3 linked regions of the Oreochromis niloticus genome follow. The protein of the gene in region 2 purifies or fractionates together with the protein of the main gene of each other region. This does not show direct contact. Links are inferred from orthologs where the notes say so. Each region holds a gene or a part of one and is shown on either strand. Other genes may lie near its edges. The genes, in order: golga5, slc6a15 and klhl36.

The links.
Region 1: the proteins of slc6a15 (region 2) and golga5 purify together in Homo sapiens (co-immunoprecipitation; 3 studies listed by BioGRID and IntAct, counting the BioPlex papers as one, with this or other methods). This does not show direct contact. The link is inferred for Oreochromis niloticus from reciprocal best matches to the Homo sapiens genes SLC6A15 and GOLGA5.
Region 3: the proteins of slc6a15 (region 2) and klhl36 purify together in Homo sapiens (co-immunoprecipitation; 3 studies listed by BioGRID and IntAct, counting the BioPlex papers as one, with this or other methods). This does not show direct contact. The link is inferred for Oreochromis niloticus from reciprocal best matches to the Homo sapiens genes SLC6A15 and KLHL36.

What each region holds. Positions count from the first base shown.
Region 1 is NC_031983.2:22,101,628-22,109,545, forward strand, and holds the start of golga5 (golgin subfamily A member 5), read right to left. Parts: upstream 3,075-7,918; 5' UTR 2,883-3,074; intron 1,781-2,882; 5' UTR 1,773-1,780; coding exon 1,133-1,772; intron 20-1,132; coding exon 1-19. Other genes in the region: RNA polymerase-associated protein RTF1 homolog, read right to left, coding at 5,923-6,029, 6,159-6,273, 6,638-6,739, 7,000-7,077, 7,771-7,828. UniProt on the Homo sapiens protein: Involved in maintaining Golgi structure. Stimulates the formation of Golgi stacks and ribbons. Involved in intra-Golgi retrograde transport.
Region 2 is NC_031972.2:42,242,953-42,250,608, reverse strand, and holds the start of slc6a15 (sodium-dependent neutral amino acid transporter B(0)AT2), read right to left. Parts: upstream 3,072-7,656; 5' UTR 2,914-3,071; intron 1,444-2,913; 5' UTR 1,263-1,443; coding exon 962-1,262; intron 1-961.
Region 3 is NC_031972.2:2,805,685-2,813,675, reverse strand, and holds the start of klhl36 (kelch-like protein 36), read left to right. Parts: upstream 1-4,904; 5' UTR 4,905-5,161; exon of another isoform or gene 5,162-5,231; intron 5,232-5,765; coding exon 5,766-5,843; intron 5,844-6,308; coding exon 6,309-6,503; exon of another isoform or gene 6,504-6,537; coding exon of another isoform or gene 6,538-6,570; intron 6,571-6,705; coding exon 6,706-6,828; intron 6,829-7,296; coding exon 7,297-7,518; intron 7,519-7,605; coding exon 7,606-7,911; intron 7,912-7,991. Other genes in the region: cotl1 (coactosin-like protein), read right to left, coding at 939-1,021, 1,834-1,910.

The sequences.
Region 1 (7,918 bases), on a different chromosome or scaffold from region 2:
TCTGAACTCTCAGGTGTATCTGTGGTGGCCAGGCAAGAGTGAAGAGAGATCAGCATTTACAGGTATAAGTGTGGTAGCTCTTATATTATACTGCTAAACAGCAACAAACTGGTATAATAAAGCATTAATATAAAATTATCTTATTTCATACCATTGTACTTTAAGGTTCCCTGTCAAGTTTTGGACACTAAGTGGGTTAATTCTTTATTGGGAGGTGGTAAATTTAACATTTTAAAAGGGAGCCCCACAAGGTTCAGTATTAGGTCCCATGTGGTTCATATTAACAATCTTGCACCCTCTCTCTATAAGAAAATATACCATCCATCTTTATTCACATGCTACAGTTCTGTACTGTATTAATAATAATATTCTTTACTCAGCCACTGAAATCCAACAGCAAGTCTTTCTAAATTGAAAGAACGACGTAACCTAAAATTTGCTTTGAAAGCAAGTAAGTTCTCAAGAGCTTATGAGAAATTGTGGAGACGATCTGTATGTACACCTCTGACTCAATTCTTAAACCCTCTTAATTCATTTCAGCTCTTCAACCAAAGATTTACTAATAAAAACATTGATTCTTGTTTTTACTGGGTTTCATATAAAAAAGCTGAGTTATGACTGTGGCAGAGTAGTCACTGGTTTTCATTCACTTTCTTTATAGACCTTTATTTTCTTGTAAAATAATTTTACCCCTTCAAGCAATTGACTATTTCAATATGTAATTACAAACCAGAATGTTCTTGAAGATAACTGTTATCTTACCAAGTGACCAATTATTAGTTCCTTTTCATGTGTTTATTCACTCCATTTTCACTGTACTCTCTAAATATTTGCAAATTAGTGCATCCTATCACCGATTTATTTAAACAAAGGCTGCTTTCATGTGCATGCTCAGGATTCAGCATGCACATAACCGCACATAATTTTTCTCTCATAGTCATGAGAGCCTTTCAGTAGAAGTAATGTGACAAAAATGCATTGATGTGCCAATAAAGGTGAAGAAGAAGCTAAAAAAAAAACCTGTCTTAACTGTAAGCTGAAATTTTCTTCTCCTGTGAATAAGGTTGATTGTTTATAAAATGTTTGAGTGTTGTTAATTAGTCACACAGTGTTCTGCTGGTTTTGCTCATACCTTGGCCTTGCTCTTTAGCAGAGTTCTCCTCTGTTTTGATGCTGTGAGCAGATAATGAGCTCATGCTTGAAGCTCTTGATACACCCCGGGTGGACGGGGGTGTGGAGGGGACTGATGGGGTGGTATAAGAAGTGGTGGAAGCAGGAGATGTTGGGTTTTGGGCCTCTACCACTTTTACAAGCTCCTTTCTTGAATCCCTCCGATTGCTGACTTGAGGCTCAGAGCTATTAAGAAAATCGAAGAGCATGTCATCGTCCACGTTCTGCTCACTCTTTTTGGGTCTCACAAACCCAGATGAAGTCTTGCTAGTGTTGGGAGCGCTGCTACCAGAACCCAAGGGTGTACTGGTCACATTGGCAGACCCAGCCAGCACGGTTGCATTAGATTTCTTGATGTTGCCAGCTGCAGAAGAGATGTAGCTCTGGGCATCATGAGAGGATGCATAGGTATGATGTGTCACAGGTGGGTTGGTCTTGTACCCTGCAGAGTTGTAGTCAGTTTTAGCAGTGGATTCTTCTCCATAGGCTATTGAAAAGGAGGATGATTTTTCCTGGCCTTTGCTCAGGGCAGTAGCAGCTCCCTGGTCCACTTTATTCAGGAAGTCTTCAGCTTTCCCAGCCAAGTCAGTAAACCAAGACATTTTGCAACCTAGCGATAGAGACAAACAGCAACATGTAAAGATTTACTTGACAGATAATATATTTATTTACTTTCCAAGTTCTTGGATTTCTATTTAACAACATAAGGAAGGTCAGTAGGAGAGTAAAGGTCACTATGTCAATGACAGACGCTAAATCTAGACAGGCAGTTTAACTGTAAAATAGCATTTCACCTCCCCTCATCATTATCACCACTGAGATATCATCCAATGAGGCCTTTAGTTTCAAAAGCTCAGGATACACTGGCTAACTGTACCTGTGCATGACAGAGCTACTTCTGGTGTGGCTACTACCAGCCCAGGTAACCACAGCAGATCTTCTGCCTCTTTCTCTAACAGTCTTCTCTGTCACATCACACCACTGTATGCCCTCCTTCACTAGATCTATAATTCTTCTCTGATGTCTTCCTGTAGACTTCAGGAAGAGCAGCGCAAACCCTGCCCTGGGCTGTCAACAAAGGCTCTGTAGAGACGGTTTCTCAGAACCTTTATTGCTGACAACCTCACCTGGTCTGCCAACACAACAGGTGCAGACAAGACAGCTCAGTGGTGCATTTGCTTAATAAGGTTTCTGAAGAAAAACAGTCATGGATGAGAAACTACATTTGGTAACACTAAAATATGCCAGCTGCTTTGCAAAATCGTTATATTTTCTAACGCAGTGGCAATAAATGGATTCTGAGGATGGCCTTGAAACTAGACAGGACTGAGCTTGATGGGAAGCAAAACTGCGAATCGATCCATATTAAATAAACAGGATCGCAGCAACAAATTGTAGACAGTTAAAGTTAGGACTCTTCCAGTTTTGTGAGCAGCCTGTCAAGTTCGACTCAGGACTAAAACTCTCCCTGCGACAAATGCTGCACAGCTAGCATGCTATAACAAAAAACTAAGCAGCGAAATTTAATCAGCTATTATTTTTAACCACACCACGCTTTTTTTTGTTAAACATAAATGAACAAAGGGGGTTATTGGAGATGTTTTAACTCTAACGTTATCGTAAAACGATGTAAACACAGTTGTTCAGGATCAACTCCATCAGTGCTGCGGCTAACAGGCTAGCTGGCTGTTAAAGGAGACATTTAAACGTACCGTTTGACAAGAGGTATCAGTCTCAGGGTGTCTCCAGTCACCTGACTGCCGCCGAGGTTAAACAGATCAGAGTGAAAGAGTAAAACTGCTTGGAAAACAAAGTCAAATATCATCATCTGTCAAGGAGGATGTTGATGATCCTCTCAATACGTGGACCAGGAAGCGCTGCAAATAAGGACCCGACAACAGAGCGCCTTGGGAAAAGCCTGATCGAAAATTAACGGGGTTCCCAAAGCGCAGCACTCACCTCTGTTAAGGACTTTACTGTTTACTTTACTTTTACTGTTAGTAAAAATAAATGTTTATATATATATATACATATATATATATAGATATAGATATATATATGTGTATAAGAAGAAGGAGGCGAAGAAGAAGACCTGAACAACTGGTAAGTTATTTACTTTTTTTTAAAGGAAATTAAACATAGTTTTGTTTTGTTTTTTTAAGTTTAAGTATGATCCTATTTTAATTAATATTCGTATAAACACGTATAAAGTTCTCATCTTTGGATAAAAGCTTGCCGTTTGAAACAAATGAAGCTAAACACTGGGGAAACTAATATAAAGTAAAAGATACATTACAGACTAAGGCCAGAGTACTTTATTTTGTTCCGACAATCAAGATATGATTGTAGTATAGACTTTCAGTTTTAATTTAAGGGGTTTACTAATTGTTTTAGCATTTTTGTACATTGTACCTCATTTTCAGAGGACCAAAAGTATTTAAGATATTAAAACACAATTGCTTGTTTGTTTGTTTGTTTGTTTTAGTCCACTATAGTCAATAACCTTAATTATAGAACCCATGGACGTTATCAAGTAGATTATCTGCTAACCCTTTACTACTGTCACCATCCAGTGCTTGTGACTCTTTCCGTATTCAGTTTTTTATTTATTTATTTTTTTGCTGTATTCTTGGTTGTCTGTGAAGGTTCTCAGTCATCCAGTTCATAGCAGTCTAAGGAGCTTGGAAAGAAAAGCCTCTGGACTTCTTTATGTTTCTTGAAGACATTTCACCTCTCATCTGAGACACTTCTTCAGTTCTAAGAGCAATTGGTGGAGAGTCCCTTTGGGTCATTATCCATTTGCACTATGAAGGACTGTTCAATCAGTTTTGGAGTATGTGACTGAATGTAAGCAGAGTATATAGGCTTGTAGAATGTACATTTCATCCTGCTACTTCTATAAGCAGTTACATCATCAGTAAACACTAGTGACCCGGTTCCACTGACAGCCACACAGGCATATGGTGTAATATTATTTCCATTACATTGGATGATATGGTATGCTTCAGCTATTTCTGTGCTTCTCCATACTTTTCTCCCCCATCATTCAGGTACAAGTTCCTCTTGGTTTCATCTGTTCAAAGATTTTTTTCTCAGGACTGCACACTTCAGGGTTTTCTGGCTAACTCCAATCTGTCCTTCTTATTCCTGAGTGTAATCAATGTTTTGCACCTTGTTGTAAACCTTCTGTAGGCATCTCCTAAATGCAGACTTTGATAATGATATGCCTGCCTCCTTGAGAGTGTTCTCAACTTGGCTAGATGTTGTGAAGTTATTCTTAACCATGGAAGTAATTCTTTCGTCATACCCCTTAGCTGTCTTGTTTTTTGTTTTTGGGGTTTTTTTTTGGGGGGGGGCATTTAGTGTTGCTGAGCTGCCATTCAATGGTGAATAACACTTGTCAGTTAATTGCCTTCTTACTTTTGAGTGGGGCACTAGCATAGAATCGAATGAGATTGTCTTCTTTGAGGGCACAATTCATTTGCTCATGTCTTTGCAGTCGTCTTCAGACACAACTCTCACTAGTTTTGAAATCTCTCTCTTCTTACCTCTGCTGAGCTTGTTCTGTACTGTGAGGTTCTCTTTAAATTTCTTGATGATTACTTCTAACTCCAGTTTCTGAAACTTGGAAACATTGTTCTAACTTTGTATATCCATTTGCCCTCATCTGTAGTCCATACAGAAGACAGACAAAATGACACAGAAGTTATGAAACAGTGCCCCTTTATTTTTTTCCGCACTCACTCAAAAATGCATATTTACATGGCATGCCACATCAAAACAGGAACTGACTATGGACACAATCGATAACACATAGAATCTGCTCTGGGAGTTCAGGGCATGGGAGCTATCCCATGAACAACCAACCGAGGGAAACTAAAAATGAAGCAACACTTAGAATAAGGTCGGCCATACAAAAGAGTTCCTCTTTATTTAGGTTGATTAAAAAGTGACAGATGTCCAGCTGACCTGTACTGAACGTTTTACATTTGTCATGAAGGGCCAACACTGTGGTTAAGTCAGAGATGATGATAGTGTAAACTCTGCAAATAACCACAATGCTGTTGAAATTTAGGATGGAACTGCAAGTGCAGATGTTCATACATACAGAGGGGGAAAATGGACCATTTTAATTTATTACTGATGAGAACAAGCTGGTCAAATCCGAAGATGTCCATAGACTTTAAAATGGCTAAGCAACCTAAATTGTCTAAGACAGGTTCCTTGTTCAAGGTAATAATCCACAAGTGCCATGTTGTCTTTGTCCTCTTGAAGAAAATTTAAAAAAAAAACATTAAAAAATTTAAAAATTAAAAAAAAAAAAAAAGGGGGGGGTCGACTCCAGACATCCAGAAGAGTAGGAGAAGTTAAATACATTTAAAAAAAAAAACCAAAAAAAACAAAAAAAAAAACCACCACACAAACAAACTCAGTATACAAGTTTGTCTGTAAATGCAAAAGGAACAAAAAAAAACAAAAAAAAAAACCCAAACATATCTGGACAAGGTTTTCTTTTTTCTTCTTCCCGAGAAAGATCCTTTGAGAAAAACGTTGTCTCCGTTTAATCAGTATTTCCTTTGTGTTGGATGAACAGTCTATTTTATCATCATTCGAACACACATCCTTCAGGAGTCATTCACATTCTCTCTCTCGCTCACACACACAAACACCCAGTCTCTCACTTTCACTCAGACACACACACAAACTCTCGCTTACACATGCAATGTGGGTTCTCGATGAGGTGCTGCCACATCAAATCAGCCCCCTCCTCTTCTTGTAGTCTTCCAGGTTGAGCGACCTGCGGGGAGCGCCGTCCTTCACTGGCAACGCGTTAGAGCTCACAGACAGAGACTTCGCCTCTGCAGACGAAGAGCAAAATTACACAACTTCACTATATCACTGTGAAACACACTAGCATTCACCTTGTGCTCCAAGTAAGTAGAACATCTAGGCCGTACAGCTTCAACAGTACCAAAAAAGGGTCTCACCTGCATTGGGAACCTGTAGGTCAATCTTTACATCAAAGTCGTGAACTTTAAACAAGTCTTCCGAGAGGTCAGTGGTTGGCTTCGGGACATCTTTGTCTTTCTGGTTTGTTTGACCCTAAAAGAGAGAAAGTTAGATTTCTTCAGGATAAAGAGCTACAATTCAGGTTGGTGCTCATTTCCAGTCTAATCTTATTTTAATTAGATCTCAACGGAAAAAGAAATTATTTTCTGCTAAATTTTTGCCATATTCTAAAATAATAGTTTTGTTTTCATTATTTTAACTATGAAAGCTTATAAATCATGTATTCACCAAAAAAGAACTACAGTGCTGAACTCAGTTTATTCTTTCAAAAAGTTGAGTTTATCTCAAAATATCTTTGGCTCTGTCCATCAGTGTGTGCAAACTTTAACATCAATTTTGGCATCATTTCTACTTATCAGTATCTACATTATGAGCTATCAGGGAGGGTCCTGCTTACCAGTTTGTTCTTCTCTGGACTTGAATTGTCTGGTGTTGAACCAGAGCCATATTTCTGGTTTAGGTGAGCAAGAATAGCTGCGTGGACTGACGGATCTCTGGCCTGCCAAATGAAAAGAATCACAGTGACAGATCAGATCAACAGAAGTAGAAGTAGTGGTAGTTTAGGGGCATTTTCGACTGCTGTTATGCTGTATGCACATAATTAAGCATGTCTTCAGTCTTATTTATAGCAGTTCAGTAATTTAAACTGTCAATTTCATTATTCAGGTATTGTGTTTGTGAAAATGAGGCATGTGTTATTTCAGTGTGTTTAAACAAGTACAAATATCCAATCTGATAAATTTATTATAGAACACTTACATTAGACACCATGGTGGGTTTGCACTGTCTTCGTGTGAAAGGATCCATTTGTTGGTTTTTGGCATTTTGTCCTTCAGCCTGTTGGAAAATAATTAATAATATACAAATAAATAAACTAAATATTAGTATGTAGAAACCTGCACCATGAAGGGATGTATAATCATGAAAGCTGCATTAAAATTCATAGGTATGTTGTTTTTACTACACATGCAATAGGACGTGATGGTTTTAAGCCTCTGCAGGTCATCTTGGACATACAGGTGCTAAGGTTAGTATAAAACTCTTAGGCTGGGAGTTGGCTGAAGTGAACCACAGTGATACTGAACATGGTCACAGTAAAGCAGCACCAGATTAAGAAAACACCTGACATGAGGAAGCACTTTGAGGAAGATTATAAATGTACCATTTTTGATAAAATGCTGCAAAAACAGACTTTATAGAGATGAAACTCTTCTTTTATATTCCCGATGCTTGCATCATTGAAGGTTTTCCTATCCATAGATCTATTCATATGGTGTTATGCTGTCAATATTTTAGCATAAAGTTATGAATTCCTAGTTTCTTCAATCAATTCTATTTAAATAGCAGCACATTTGATTGGTAGCGACTTAGTCTCTTAATGCTTATGGAAGCAGTAAGGGTGTGTTTTTTCCAAAACACAATGGCTTAATTTTTGATAAATAATTACATTATGTAATATATCTTTCTTTTTTAACTCATCTGAGGTTGTGATGGCTGTATATGGTGCTGCTGAAGAAGGTGAACACTTACCACAAGAGCTTTTTCAGATTCAACAATGTTCCAGCTTCTGTTCCTCTGATTAATGTAACTGGGTGACAAAAGAACAGTTTAAGATCATTACAGAGTAATGATAAAGGGGCTACCAACAAAACACAATTTAGCTGTTTTTCTGTAGTTA
Region 2 (7,656 bases):
TTTCCAGAGACACTCAGTAGCTTTACATAATCTCCATGCAACACCTTATCAGGACACACACACACACACACGTTAGACTAGAAACACAACAATGGTCTGCAAGGAGTCAATCACGTAGAGCAGACCGCATTGTAGGAAATGAGGTTATCATAAACTATAATCAGAAGCATCACACTCTTCTTAGAATTATTTCCTGTATGTTGAAAGCAGCGTTAGAGGTTCTGTGTTTGGTTGTGTGTATGAAATCACAGACGTAACAAGGCAGTCATATTAACATTCTGTCTGTGGTGAAGCTCGCAGCCTAGTCTAGTTTTGATGGATGACACATCATTTTGAGACTACTCGTGAGAAGAGGTTTTAATGTTCTGATGTTAATTTCAACGTTCTGATCGGAGCTGATGATTCTGGGAACACTGTCCACATTCATTCAACAAAGGTGCCTATTTTAGGAGTTCTGCGGTATCAACTTTCACCTTCTGTCAGCAAACGCGTTAATGCTGAAGAGATGTTGATGTGTGACCCTGCACCCACATGGTAAACACAGAGTACAACACCTTCACTATAAAACGGTAATTTCATGAAGTCATGACGCCATTTAAAGCCCATTCAGAGTGTCTGCAAAGAAACAAAAGCTAAAAGTGGAAGGTGATACTTCTGGTTTCTCAGTAAGGATGAACAAACAAACAAACAAAAAAAAAAACGAATAAAAAAACAATCAAATCAAACACGTCTTCGTTAGCCATTTTTTGTCCTCTGTAAAAACTTGCACATGTAGATGCTAGACTTGGCTTCCACCCAAGAATATCACATCCTGAATCTACGATCGCTTTTAATTAACACGGAACTCCTTTTGTCCCCTTGTGTCTTGGTCTTTGTTCCTTTTGTTATCATGTTTAACATGATGCTACCCATCAGTTATACGCCCTTACTGTGTGTGTGTGTGATGCTAGCTGAGACTCACCCCCTCCATTCTTCTGACACAGGTAGGGGAATCTCCAGACGTTGCCCAGGCCTACAGAGAAGCCAACCTGGGCCAGGATGTACTGGAGCTTGCTGTTCCAGGCCGGTCGTTCCTCCTCCTCGGCATCTGACCCCCCTTCCTCCACATCGCACTCTTTCCCTTCGCCTTCATGGTTGTTGACGATCAGCGAGCTCTTCTTGAAGGAATCATCACAGGCGTCCTCGTTGGAAAGCAGGTCTCTGACAGACTCTGTGACATCGTCGTCAAGCTCTCTCTTGACGGCCTTGCTGTTTTTGGGCATTTGATAAAGCAAACAAGGGCGAAAGTGTGGAACGTCTTCTTGGCTGGCGGGCTGGTGGGACAGAGCCGGCGTGTGAAAAGAACTCTGCGCAATGGCACAAGTTTGAAAGTATTCTGGGTTCAATGGCCAGCGGGCTTTTACAAAGTTTGTAGAGGTTTATTTCCTCATTATCACCATATATCTGCGAGGGAGAGATAGAAACACAGCAAAGGGTAAACAGCCAATGAAAGTGAAAACCTGTGTTTATTTTTTACATAGTTTCAGGTACTTATTTCCTTCCTAAAATACTAAAATAACTTTGACAAGAGATGACAAGAAATGAACTTATTAAACTAACTAAACCCAAAGGTAAACCTTTATTTGGTTTACCTTTGGGTGATTTGATTTCAGTCTGACTCCATGTATATATTTCACAAGAAATAAACTACTTTTTTAACCTTACTCCTTATCCCTCAGCATCTTACTTGAATTTACACCGTAGGGAGAATTACTTCTCCATCTGAGGGATGCTGATGCAACACTCACATGGATTTCACATGACTGGAAAGGGCACCAAAATCAGTGAATGGGATTTTATTCTCAGTGCTTGTTCTGGACAAAAAAACAAAAAACAAAAAAACAAAAAACTGGGCCTGGAGCATTTGGCTGGTTGAGCACGCTGCCTAGGACAGTGACACACTGAGATACAGAGGCTATCCCGTTTCAAGCCCCCTGAATAATTGAACAGGCAAAGCGATTTGCATACAAACCCAAACATTCCCTACTTTTACCTGATGGGGAAAGCCCTCAAATATAAAAGCATATGAACTTCCCAAATTACACTTTTCTCTTCTATAAAAGAGCTTAATCACGGTGCATTAACATTTAATGACGCTTAGTACCGGCAGCACTGGAAGAGAATCAAGGGTGTGCCATCAACCTAAAGGCTGATTAAGGTGCGCAGCATCCTTGATTCCTAAATGTGAGCATCCTTTCAGGGAGGCTTCACATCAAGCTCAAATCCATCCTCGAACATTTTCATTTAAACTGTCAGAGGCGCAAAAAATATCCCCGGCACGACGAGGGGCGTTGCGACCACGAAGCACTGCGTGTCTCCCGCCTTTCACCACACAGAGGATTAAGAGATTAATAGATTTCTTTCAGCGCTTCCAGATTAGCCTGGTTTGAATGAGGCAAAGGCCATCGTTTCATAATGCAGTGAACACAACGCGGCGTCCAAAACCGAGCCATGATGCTGCGCAAGCCTCGCCTCGGTTATTATTAATCGTTTAATAGCGGAGCACTTATTACAAATATTAAACATATGAGTGCGTCTAGGAGGAGAATGACTCATTCTGTAGTATCTTTTTTGCACATGGCTCGGCCTGTTGTGTTAACATGACATACCAAAGCGGATGAAGCAATAGATTAAAAAAATAAAAAAAACATTTATTATTAACCCAACCGGTCTCACTAGTGCTATGTGGGGTTTGTCCTCGTTCATTCATTTCCTCCCTCCCGCTCACAGCCGTCATGTCATCTCTGAGGAGTGTTTCATCATTCACCGGTCATCCACACCAGGGTACCTCAATCCAACCCATACTCTGTATCACGCCTTGCCTTTACCATCAGCCTGCTTATCCCTGCTGGAGATGCTGAGGATGGTACTCACCTTCGCGGAATAGCAATCTTCTGAAATGACTCGTCTCAAGGAATGAAATTGTGAGAGCACATGCACGGGGAAGACATTATCACCAATTTGTGTCTCAGCCGGTGTGTTGCGCTCCGCTTCGGTGTCCTGTGCTTCACTTGTCTGGCTTACGGAGACGAGCGCCGCTCAAAAAGGAAAGGAGGGGGACGGACTGGGTGGGGAGGGGGGTTTCTCCGCCTCCAACTCGCTCGTGACCGTCAGTAGGCAACTCTTTATTTACTTAATATTTAACTTTATATAGTTTATATCACATATCTATGTCACACCGCACGACACGCATGCTTACACCGTCCCTATTTAGTTGAAATAAGCATATTTGTACCCTCATCCTCCCCCCGTTTGCCACTTGGTACACTCCACTACTACTAATCCGGTAGAAAAGGGGCTGGCTTAAGGATAAAAAAGCAATGTGCCTCTGTTTATAAACGCGGATTTTCTCTGACTGGATATGTATTTGGATCGCATATGTATTTTTTTTTAATTTTTTGCAATTTATTTAAAAAAACACAGACTGAATTTAGGGGACATGACGTGCAGAAAGCGAGGTTTGTGGTTCAAGGTCGTCGTTTCGCTCGACTTCAACCTCCCAGGGTGGTGCGATGAAATTTGCATATATCCGCGACGAGACAGACATATTGTTTTATCATGCTTTTTATTTAAGATATATTTAGATAATACCATTATTTCAGCAATCTGAATGAATGAAATCAATGAATGTTATATTACAGGGAGTAACACCTGCTGTCATGGGTCCAGTTAGGTCTACAGTAAATGTATTTCAAGGTGTAGTATGGATCAGCCATTCAATATATATTTAAATTGGAATCTTGAGATCAAACTAAGCTGTATTTCGTCCATGAAGTGAATTGAGTTTCATACCTAAAAGCATGACGACTAAAACAGGTATAAAGGCAGTCATCTGGACACTCATATTTATTTTCATATTACACGGAGGTGGCACAAGATGTCATTTTCTGAAATGTGGTCTTAAAGATTTTCACTTTGACTGTTTGCAGAATATTTCAGACCAATTATTAACTTGTCAGAATGTAGGAGAAGTTACAGAGACTAAGAGGAAATACGAGGTTTAAGCTTGCATAACCTGAAATTCAGGCGTTATCTCGGAGATGATAGGTTAGCCATTGCCTTAGTTTTTTTCCTTTCTTTTTTCTCTTTAAAGTTGTTCTATTCCCTGAGAAGAAAATCATGCACTTGGAAACACTACCCACGTTTATGTCCTGTCTTGCCCTGGTGGCCAGTGTGAAATCCACCCACAGTATTTCAGGTGCATCATCACAGAACTCAGTAGTTGTCACAGCCTTTGCCAAGCAGAATATGTGTGTATTTGATGTTCATGCAAATCTATTACGTCCAATTCATTGGTCGTCCAAGTCTTATCATCTCTTCTTACCACTCCCCTTAGTTACATATCTCTGTAGTTCTGACACAAATACAGGTTGTCATCCTTGCTGTACAAAATGCACAGGATATTGCCCGCTCACTGAAATAAGAGATTGAGATAAAATACCCAGTTAAACAGCTAAACTATATTGTTTGACATCTGACATACAATCGCAGCTTTGGATAATAAGCCTTTATTCCACCTAATGCAACATAATTTCTATGTAAATACATCTACTGAAAGGATGATTGTATTTATTTTGATTGATGTCTTGAAGATAGGTGTTAGGTCCAATTGTTGAATGTTGCCATTGTGTTTCTTAAATTTGTACAGTCTTAGTTCAAGCAGTATTATCAAAGCCATTCCTTTGATCCTGAGCACCTCTAACCACTTTGTGTTGGGGGAGGGTTTTATTGTAGATACATCCTATCTGAAAGATCTGTTTCTTGTGTTGTAAGCTTCCTGCTTTTACGACCCTTTGGTCAGCAGGAGGTCTCACACACATACACACACACACACACACATTCCTACTTACATATAAAGGTTCACACACATATACATACAATGCCTTAGAACCATGTGGGCGTTGCTTTGCTGTGTTTTGTGTGAACTGTCTCTCAATAAAAGGCAGCGAGAGGAGGCTGGATTTGGGGTCATTTCCATGCTGGACATAGAGGAGGCCTCCCTTGCGCAAGTAATCGATCGATCGCTGACTGTCTTGTTTTCATTCATGATGAATAAGTCTCTAGAATTAGCGGGGTTTGTGGGAACAGACCCAACAATAGGTTTTTGTGCAAGCTTTCAAAATTGTTAAGGTCTTATGATACCTTTGATTTGAGTCTTTACACTGTTAAAAAACACAAAAAAGTACATACTTACATGAAGATAAACTTTGTTCCACAATAAAAGGGGGAACTTGGTTTGATGGTTAGTGCAACAGCGGAAGCTATCATCCTCCTTTCAAAGAACTGAGACCCCTGCTACTGGTTCTGTACAAAGCAGCTGTCCCTTCAGTACAGAAACTGATGACACACTTGACAAATTAAACAGAATACAAAGAACTAGCAGCTGAGGCTGATTAACAGAGCTGATAACTCTGGGTTAACCTCTTGGGGATTGGGTGCAGTGGATTTGTGGTATTATGTGTTATAATGTCACTGATTCAGTTTTTTCTAGTTAGGTAAGTCATAAAGTGAAAAGAAGAGCCAGTAACAGCAGAGGATTGCACTGGTTCTTGATGATTACTGTATAAACACTATTCAATGGAATAGCAAATGTAGCTTCAGGGATTGGAAACAGTTGGCTGCTCAGTCTACAGATCCAAAGATGATGATGATGATTTGTGTGCTGAGTAAAAGGAAGAACTCTAAATTGAATTCAGTTCAATTCAATTCAATTCAGTGTTATTTATACAGTGCCGAATCACAACAACAATCGCCTCGAGGCGCTTCATATTGTAAGGTAGACCCCACAATAATACATACAGAGAAAAACCTAACAATCAAATGACCCCCTATGAGTAAGCACTTTGGCGACAGTGGGAAGGAAAAACTCCCTTTTAACCAGAAGAAACCTCCATCAGAACCAGGCTCAGGGAGGGGCGGTCATCTGCCGTGACAGGTTGGGGTGAGAGAAGGAAGACAGAATAGAAGACATGCTGTGGAAGAGAGCCAGAGATTAATAACAAGTATGATTCAGTGCATAGAGATCTATTAACACATAGTGAGTGAGAAAGGTGACTGAAGAAGAAACACTCAATGCATCATGGGAATCCCCCAGCAGCCTACACCTATTGCAGCATAACTAAGGGAGGATTCAGGGTCACCTGATCCAGCCCTAACTATATGCTTTAGCAAAAATGAAAGTTTTAAGTCTAATCTTAAAAGTAGAGATTGTGTCTGTCTCCTGAATCTAAACGGGAAGCTGGTTCTACAGAAGAGCAGCCTAAAAACTGAAGGCTGTTCCTCCCATTCTACTTTTAAATACCCTAGCAACAACAAGTAAGCAGTCACGGTCCTATTTGTTTAATATGTGCATTGAAGGACATATCCTGGTCAAAAATGACTCCAAGATTCCTCACAGTGTTACTGGAGGCCAAGGTAATGCCATCCAGAGTAGGAATCTGCTTAGATACCATATTTCTAAGATTTTCAGGGCTGAGTACAATAACCTCAGTTTTATCTGAATTTAGAAGCAGAAAGTAGCAGCCATCCAGGTCTTTATGTCTTTAAGACATTCCTGCAGTTTAATTAATTGGTGCGTGTTATCTGGCTTCATAGATAGAGTTTGGTGTCACCTGCATAGCAGTGAAAATGTATGCTATGCAATCTAATGATACTGCCTAAGGGAAGCATGTATAATGTAAACAGAATTTGTCCTAACACTGAACCCTGTGGAACTCCAAAATTAACCTTAGTGTGTGAAGAAGAGTCTCCATTTACATGAACAAATTGGAGTCTATTAGATAGATATGATACAATATCTATAACTATAATACAATATCTATCACACTGCAGCGGAGTACCTGTAGTACCTACAGTATGCTCTAATCGTTCTAAAAGGATATTATAGTCGACAGTATCGAATGCTGCAGGTCTAGCAGAACAAGCACAGAGATGAGTCCACTGTCAGAGGCCATAAGAAGATCATTTGTAACCTTCACTAGAGCTGTTTCTGTGCTGTGATGAGCTCTGAAACCTGACTGAAACTCTTCAAATAAGCCATTCCTCTGCAGATGACCTGTTAGCTGTTTGACAACTACTCTTTCAAGGATTTTTGATATGAAAGGAAGGTTGGAGACTGGCTTATAATTAACTAAGATCACTGGGTCTAGGGATGGCTTTTTAAGTAAAGGTTTAACTACTGCCAGCTGGAATGCCTGTGACACATAGCCAATTATTAGAGATAGGGTGATCATATTTAAGATTGAAGCATTAATTAATGGCAGGACTTCTTTGAGCAGTCATGTAGGAATGGGGTCTAAAAGACACGTTGATGGTTTACAGGAAGTTTAGTGGTCTTGTTACCTATAGGCTGGCCATGACCAGCAGCCATCAACTTTACGACTCATGATAATCACATAGCTGTGTATCTTTTGCAGATCCTTCTAATTTCTCCTTGAATTTCCTTGTATTTCAGATCATTGCCTCTTTAAGAAGTTTTGAACATAGGCCAACAACCAGTAACTAGTCACTGTGAGATCATTTACCTTGTTACTGGCCAAACTAGTCATTGGCTCCTCCTTCATAATATGATGTATGATGATGAAGCAAGTGGAAGCATCATGGTTCAGATAAAAAACC
Region 3 (7,991 bases), about 39 Mb from region 2:
GATCTTGGCGAAACAATACCCCAGCATGCAGTATCTTCTTTTTTCACTTCCTGCTGCAGTATAAGTTTAAGATCAATATTCTACAAGAGTTGATCTAAACTCACTAAACTCAAGTCTGCGGCAGCTCCTCCCACACACACACACGCACGCACACACACGCACACGCACACACACGCATACGCAGAGGGGTTTTTTTTCTGCAGGTTACAACTTCACTGCTAAATAAGGCAAACGAGCCCACAGAGGGAGATGCGTGTGTCATCACTGAACAGGAACCAATAGCGAACGCAGCAGCTGAGCGGTTACATGTAAAGCACTGTTGTAAAGGAGTGATTTCAACATAGGAATGTGAGCTCTAGACATCAGGAAGCAGAGAGACACAGGAGGCCCTGAGGCTTTAAAGACAAAAAGAGCTTGCATTAGCAGTTGCCACACCCATCATCTGAGCAGATGCTTCACTCTCTCTAAAGGGGAACTTCACCGGAGTGAGATAGGTTTTTTTGAAATCTATACATAAAAGGTTTGCACACTGCAAGTCATTACACTACAGCAGCTTATGGGAGTTTGTGCTTTGGGAGAAGCTTGGAGGCTCTCTTGTTAGAGGCAGGTGAAATATTAATGAATGTCAGATCGTTGAAGGAGTAAAGCTAAAAGTTCACATATTTCCACTGTAGTTTGCACCAATAGTCAAATGTAGGCCACCCTGTAGTAAAAAAACTTGAGATATTGTGAAAAAGATTATGCAATGCAGTGAACACACAGCTAAGTGCTCTGACAGCCTAGTCACAGGCTCAAGGCTCATTGGGTGATGGAGCACAGAGTCTTAAAAGATTAGTGTCCCGCCAAGTCAAGCTGCCTGATATATAGGCTGTTTTACAAAATCTACAGCAGCCAGCTACACAGCTACAGCCCTGCGTTTAAAACTGATTCAGTCTTACCTGTGCACATACTCTTGAAGTCCTCATAGTCGGTCCCTTGTCCTCCAGGCACGATGATGTTGTTCTCATATTTAAACACAGCCCTGGAAGGAGCACAGTGGGCCAATTACTGCAGGATCACATGAGTTCGCATAATGCACACACACAACAACGACAACCATTGCAGAAAAATGCCTGAGACGCCCATGGAAGGTGGCAGCTGTGTATCAGCCATCTGCAAGTGTCACCACTATAACATTTTCCCCGTTGAATACAGGACAAAGGAAATTACTTATGCCCCGCCGGGCCTGATAACAGTGCGCTGTGTGACCGCTGAACAGTCAGAATACAGATCAGCCACATCCGAGGGACAGGACAGCGAACGCTGCGTGTATTTTGGCCAGTTTTTCTACAAGAAACAGTCCGCAATGTGCTGTTCTAGCGCATTTTCGCAATGAGCAGGCGTAACTGCATAGGATCACAGAGCAATTTAAAGTTCTGGTGCAGAAGTGCAGAAGTAAACGCCACCAATCATACAGCTGACGACATTTTATTAGCATTTTTTAGTTAGTTTTCTATTCGGCATGTATCCGCTTATTCAAACGACGCTTATTTAAACACAATGTGAACTTTTTCAAAAGCAAGTCCGTCTCTTCATGTTGCGCTCTTCCTCATTGAAAAGACGGAACAGTGGGCGGTAACAGACAGAGTGAAATACATTTTTAACTAACACCACATCAAATATATACTCTGTTTGGTGTTTTATTGGTCGCCGAAGTAGATGGCGGCTAGAATACCACCAGACAGGTGCAGGGTTATGTGCGTGTGTCATTCATTTTCGGTAATTTTAGCGTTAATATAAAACCGTCACAATCTTCAATGGAGTATGGGTTAGTAACCGTGCTCGCACACTCACCAATTGATGTCAGTGTTATCGTCCCTCACTTGGTTGTAAGCCTCTCTGCAAGCCTCTTTATCGATCTGGGTTGCCATTTTTCGGATGGAGAAGTGTCAGGCAGGCAAAATAAGCGTTGAATGGGTCTGAACCAGGGAGGGCCAGCTACACGGTACTAAAGCGGCTAACTTGCACAGTGGATGCTACACATCAGAGACCTAGAACCGATAGCGTGACAAGCGGGCTTCAGTCGGAAATCACGACCACTGCACTGGAACGATCGAACCGGTCAGATTCAGCGGGAAAAGACGGCTGTTCTTCTAGCAGCTCGGTTCATTTCCTGTATGTTACCACTTTATGGGCGTGGGTGATGTTAGTCAATCAGGTTGCCAGCAGACAGACAGAGAAGCTCCCCCAGACGCTGTGTTCACCTCCTCCTGGTCAATGAGCGTTTAGCAAAAGAAGCGCTGTCAAGGCAACCGCGACAGGCAGCGACAATTTCCGGAAGAGATTTTCTAAATAAAATCAAAGGCAGCAAGTTCTCAAAAGTGACTTGAAACCAAATTTAGCCATTTCACATTTTGTATTACCATGAAATGTTATTATTATAAATAATAATATTATTATAGATTTCTATTAGTAATCACTATAGGTAAAACGTCCTTTTTTGTGGACATAGTTCCACAAGAGATTTTCTTTGAATTAACAGAAACTTTCTGTTTCTATAATTCTGTATATTTCAGGATCACGTGGGCAGTAATCCTGGTTCTGCGTGTGTGAGCCTGGTTGTGCTGAAGATTTCTTCCTGTTAAAGTGAGGGAATAAATAAATATTAATTCTCTTTCTCTCATTCTAATATTACACATTATATATCTTTTAGGGATTTGATTCCAGATTGACATTTCTTATTTAATTGCTCTTACAGTGAATGATTATTTTTATTGGCTCTGTTTATCAACACTGACAACCAAAGTGCTGAAGAAACATGAAAAAAGTAGCAGTGTATCAAAAATGATTCAGTAGAATAAAAATAACTTTCACAAAGGAAAAGGTGTAAAAATGGAAGCTGTATACAATAACATGAAAATGAGAGCAACTGTTTTGCTTTTGTTTGGCATTTGCTCATTTTTATTTTAAATAGATACTTTTATTCTTAAGTTAAAACGATCAACTTCCGGTCTTTCTCTTATCTACCACCGCAACTTTACACAGCAGAGTGCAGATGAATTAATTTGAGGAACAGGTACTAGTCTGACACAAAGCCACTGGTCATTACACTCACATAACTTACACCGTGAACCTAGGAGCTGGGCTTAAAACATTAAATCCACTGATCAAATAGAAGGCTAGCTAGAGGTCAAAGGTCATCTCCGTCCTCTTGCCAGTATCTACTCTTTGACACTGGCATAAGCCCAACTGAGCTGTGTACCTCCTGGTTTGTTTGTGCCTGCATCATCCTGCCACCTGCTGGTCGACCTGCAGTCGGTCACAAGCTTTCATCAATCTTTCCTGCAAACTTAGACTCAGCGGTCAGCAATAACCACACGGTCCAATGTTAGACTGCAGGAGGGGGGTTGGTTATGTCTTCTGTCTCTCCAGCTTCATCTCCATCTGTCTGTCTCACAGTCTGCACTTGCTGTTACATGCAGGCTGCAGAATATTTCTAACATTTTGAGTTATTTTCCAGTGTTCAGAAAAATCAGCACTGCTCAGTTTTATTCATTGTAAATCTTGAAAACTGACTAGGTTACTTTTAAAAATACAACACTGTCAAAAGTGTTCATTTAACACTCAACAGTGTGGACACATATAGACACTCTGTAGTGTTAATTTAACACTGGAGATTTTGCTGTGTAGGAAGATAGAGTTTGCATCTAGAAACATTATTGCACAAGGAACACTGCTGCCATGATGGGAGTTACTGCATCACAGTAATCGCCACACAGAAGCCAGGAGCCAACTTTCTGAGCCGAACATTCCCCACAGCATCGCACTTCATCCACCTGTTCATGTTCCTCCCATATGGCACCCTGATCCTACCTGGTCTCCAGTTAGCTGATGTGCAGTCAACTCTATGATGTAAAAGATCATCACAACAGGAAAAATTGCTCCATGTTTTAACTGTGTACCAAACATATTCAGAATAAATATATTATGCATAAAAATAAATGAATAAAAATAAATGATCTTATCATGTCTTTTATCAATAGCTTCCTTTCTCTGTTCAACTCATTTTCCATGAACGGGACAAACTTTATTTGATAAATTTAGGAGGCAGGGTAAACCCTGGACAGGTCACCAGTGTGCTGCACTCAGACATTCATGCCCACATTGTTTAACTAATATTGTTTTCTTTCAGATTATTAATCGAGGTTAACTGTGTCATAAAACGGTGTCATTGTGACAGTCCTGCCACCCGATAGGCTTCCGTTTATCTCTTTAATATATTCATTCATTCATTCATTTAGCAGCTGTTTATCTACAGTACCGCGCAAAAGTCTTGAACCACCTCCTTTTGTTTCAAAGGAGCTATACTTGTAATATTTTTGAAAGGGGATCTTTAGGAACGTGTTTCCTTTCTTTCTATTTCCCGATATGCTCGTATAACGTAGAGAAAAGACGGGTGGCGCCAGACTTTTGCACAGTACCGTTTGGCGTTGTCACTCAATGGGCTTCATAAAGTGTTGATGTAAATAACAACATCCGGCCGAAAGTCGTTGACTTCAAAATAAAACAAAATTTTGAACATTGAGTATGGCTTTTAGTCTTGTCTGGTAAATCGAACTAACTACTACTACTACTACTGCTATTATTATTATTATTATTATTATTATCATTGTTATTATTATTATTATCATCATCATCATTTGATGCAGGTCCAAAAGTTTCCAAAGATTTCAAGATCTCTTCAGCTTCTCAGAGACCTCTGGTTTTTGAATACACAAAATAAGTACATATTTTCCTTCCAACAAAAATTAGCAAATATTCATAAATATATATTTTCTATTTATCTGTAAGCTCATAGCTTGTAACCGCAAACCACCAATAAATAAATACCACCAAATGGTTTATTCTGAAAAGTCAAACCGGAAGTTCAGTTGATGTTTAACCTGCGGCTAAGCTATGTCCCTCTGGCTGCCTGCTCCAGCTGTTTTTGTGGTCCAATACAGCATGTGTCACCGGCAATAAGTCTCTGTAAGAAGACGGTGGGCGAAGAGCGGCGTTTGAAGCATTTTTATTGTTTCCTGGATAAAATGCGGCAGTTTGTTCTTCGGCTGTCCTGCGGGACCCATAGATGCTGCTGCTGACGGAATAACAGAGGAGCCAGCCGCCTTCTGACCCGCCTCAGGTCCGCGTGTAAGCGCTGCTGTCAGTGGCTCTGAGGCAGTGACACGGCTTCTCGTCTGGGCTTTTCAGCTGTATGTATCTCATCTCGCTAAAGGCCTGAAAGCCGCGGCTCTAGCTTGTCTCCACTTCCTGTGTTTAGGAAGGGCCGTGAACCCTCAACTGAGTGTAGTTCATAATATCTGTGATCTAAAGCATCAGAGCTCCTATTTCAAATGAGACTCAGACTCCAGCGTGCTCGTTCAGCTCTCACATCAAACACCAAAGACTTGTTCATCTCATGAACTGTTACAGGTCCTGTACCAACATGATTATTGAGCGTGTTCCAGACACATAGTAAAACTAAAAGCAGCCACCCCCACACGCTTATGAACGAAATTCTTTATTACTGGGCAATAAATCAAACATCAGTGTCAAAGCTGAATGGAATATCCTCAGATCTCTTGTTTTGTTTGGCTTATAACTCCAAAGAGAACATTTCTTCCAGTTTTCCTTGAAAATAACTGAATCAGTTAATCAATCTGATGCATTATTTGAGTAACTTATTAATTAGTTAATAGTTGCAAGAATTACAGTAAAACGTGTGTGTGTGTGTGTGTGTGCTTTAGATGATGCCTTCCTGGGGGGATGTAATGGACAAATTGAGCCGAGTGTGTCGACCCCAGCTGATTAGCGAATCGTCTAAGGTCAGTGTTGTTATTGTTAAAAATTAATTTCATGGTCTGTAAAGTAGCTTCAGGTTAATCGACTAATAGTTGTAGACAGTTGTCTATCCAAAGTGCAGAGGATCTGGGGACTGTTTTCATCCCTCTGGTAAGTTGAGAAGTCAGCTCATTTCTAGCCTGAGAGACAAAATCAGACGATGGAAACCTCAGCAGATCTCTCTCTACTGCTTGTACAGTATAAACACTGCGAGTGCCAAGAAACTTCCATCTGAAGTTTGGCAGCAGTTGGCTTTATCTGGGGTGTGAATAAGGAGGAATGTGCAAAAGTAAGCAGGCAAAAAGAAGAAGAAAGGCAGCCTGGTTCTTTTCAACAAGGTTTCTGAGGAGGCTCCTGGGAGCAGGCGCTGATTTTGCTGTTTTTTGTCGGCGACACAGCCGTTTGGAGTAAAGAGTTGTGATCAGGGTGATGTTGTGCTGTGTTTGCAGGTTTTCCGCTGGGTGGATCATGCCGCTGAACTGCTGCAGGGCCTCGACGAGCAGCGGCAGCACGGCCAGTTCTGCGACGTGGTCCTCGTGGCTGAAGACGAGCGCGTCCCCGCTCACCGAGCCCTGCTGGCGGTCTCCAGCCCGTATTTCAATGCTATGTTTACTTTGGGCATGAAGGAGGAGCACCAGCAGGAGGTATGCAGGCGACGCTGTGAAAAAAAGCTTTCAGATGTTTCATGGATGCTTCAGGAAATTAGCTTATGTATGTACATAAAATAATATATTAAAAAGTCAGATTAAAAACAATGTGGATCATTTGTGGGAGCCTTTGTTTCTATCTTGGTTGTACTGAAGTTGTAAATGGAATAAAGTACACACGTGTTCTTCCTGTCTGCAGGTGGAGCTGGTCGGGATGTCCTTCATGGGTCTGAAGGCTGTGGTGGACTTCCTGTACAGCGGCGAGCTGCCACTGGACGGAGGAAACATTGACTATGTGCTGGAAGCTGCTCACCTCCTGCAGGTAAGAAACCAGCGAGCTGTTAGGTTTAACCATGCAGGCCAAGCGGCAGCTTCTGGGGCTGATGAGGGAAAGGGCCAAAAACTGCAGTTCCTATGATGGCCACTTGGGGCTGACCCTAAAAGTGAGTCAATCTCAGTAAACTCCCATATTAAAAATAGTTTACAGCCTGGTACAAAAAATGGTCTCCACGAGTAGTTTTCTCTTCATGAAAAATATACAGTAGGTGATTTTTGTTATAGCTCATCAGTTTAGATACTGTTAAGGCTTAAAGTTAGAGGGGTGACCTGTTTGACTGAACTTCTCCTTTTGGAGCATTTAAACTAAATTATCAGGAAAATAATATGTCTAAGAATTTCTGTGTTTGTAGTGCGAGAGGTTTAATCACCTGTTAAAATCACCTGTTTAACTGTTAAGAATCAATTGTTGGTGATAATTAATGTTACCTATAAAAACTCGTGCATTGTTCAGGTGTGGCGAGCGGTGGATTTCTGCTGCCAGTTCCTGGAGACGGAGGTGAGCGAGGACAACTACCTGTACCTGCAGGAGCTGGCGCTGCTCTACAGCCTGGAGCGACTCAGCGCCTTCATCGACCACTTCATCCTCAAACATTTCACCACACTCTCTTTCACCCCGGACTTCCTGCGCAACATTCCTTTCCACAAACTCAACTCCTACCTCTCCAGTGGCCAGGTGAGACGAGTTCTCACCACGGCTCAGCAGACGAGCTGAAATCAAAAGCACGGTTAGCATTCTGAGAGCCCCTTTCTTCATCGCCAGGTTCAGCACGACAGCGAGCAGGCGCTTCTCCAGGCCTCGCTGCAGTGGCTCAGCCAGACGCCCGAGCGGACCTCCCACGCCAGGCAGCTCCTCTCCCACATCCGATTCTCTCTGATCCCGGTGGCAGACCTCATGAGCAGGGTGCTTCCGGACGTGCGAGCTCTGCTGCCCGAGGAGGCCGGCTGTGAGGCCCTGGTGGAGGAGGCGCTGGCGTACCACGCCAGGACCAGCGTTCAGCCACTCCTGCAAACTGGACGCACCACAGTGAGGGGGGGAGTGGAGAGACTGCTGCTCATTGGAGGAGAGGTACAGAAGCTGATTTCATGATTTCACGTGAACATCATGTTAAACCTGCTTTAGACCTGATGTCTTCACACCTGACACTT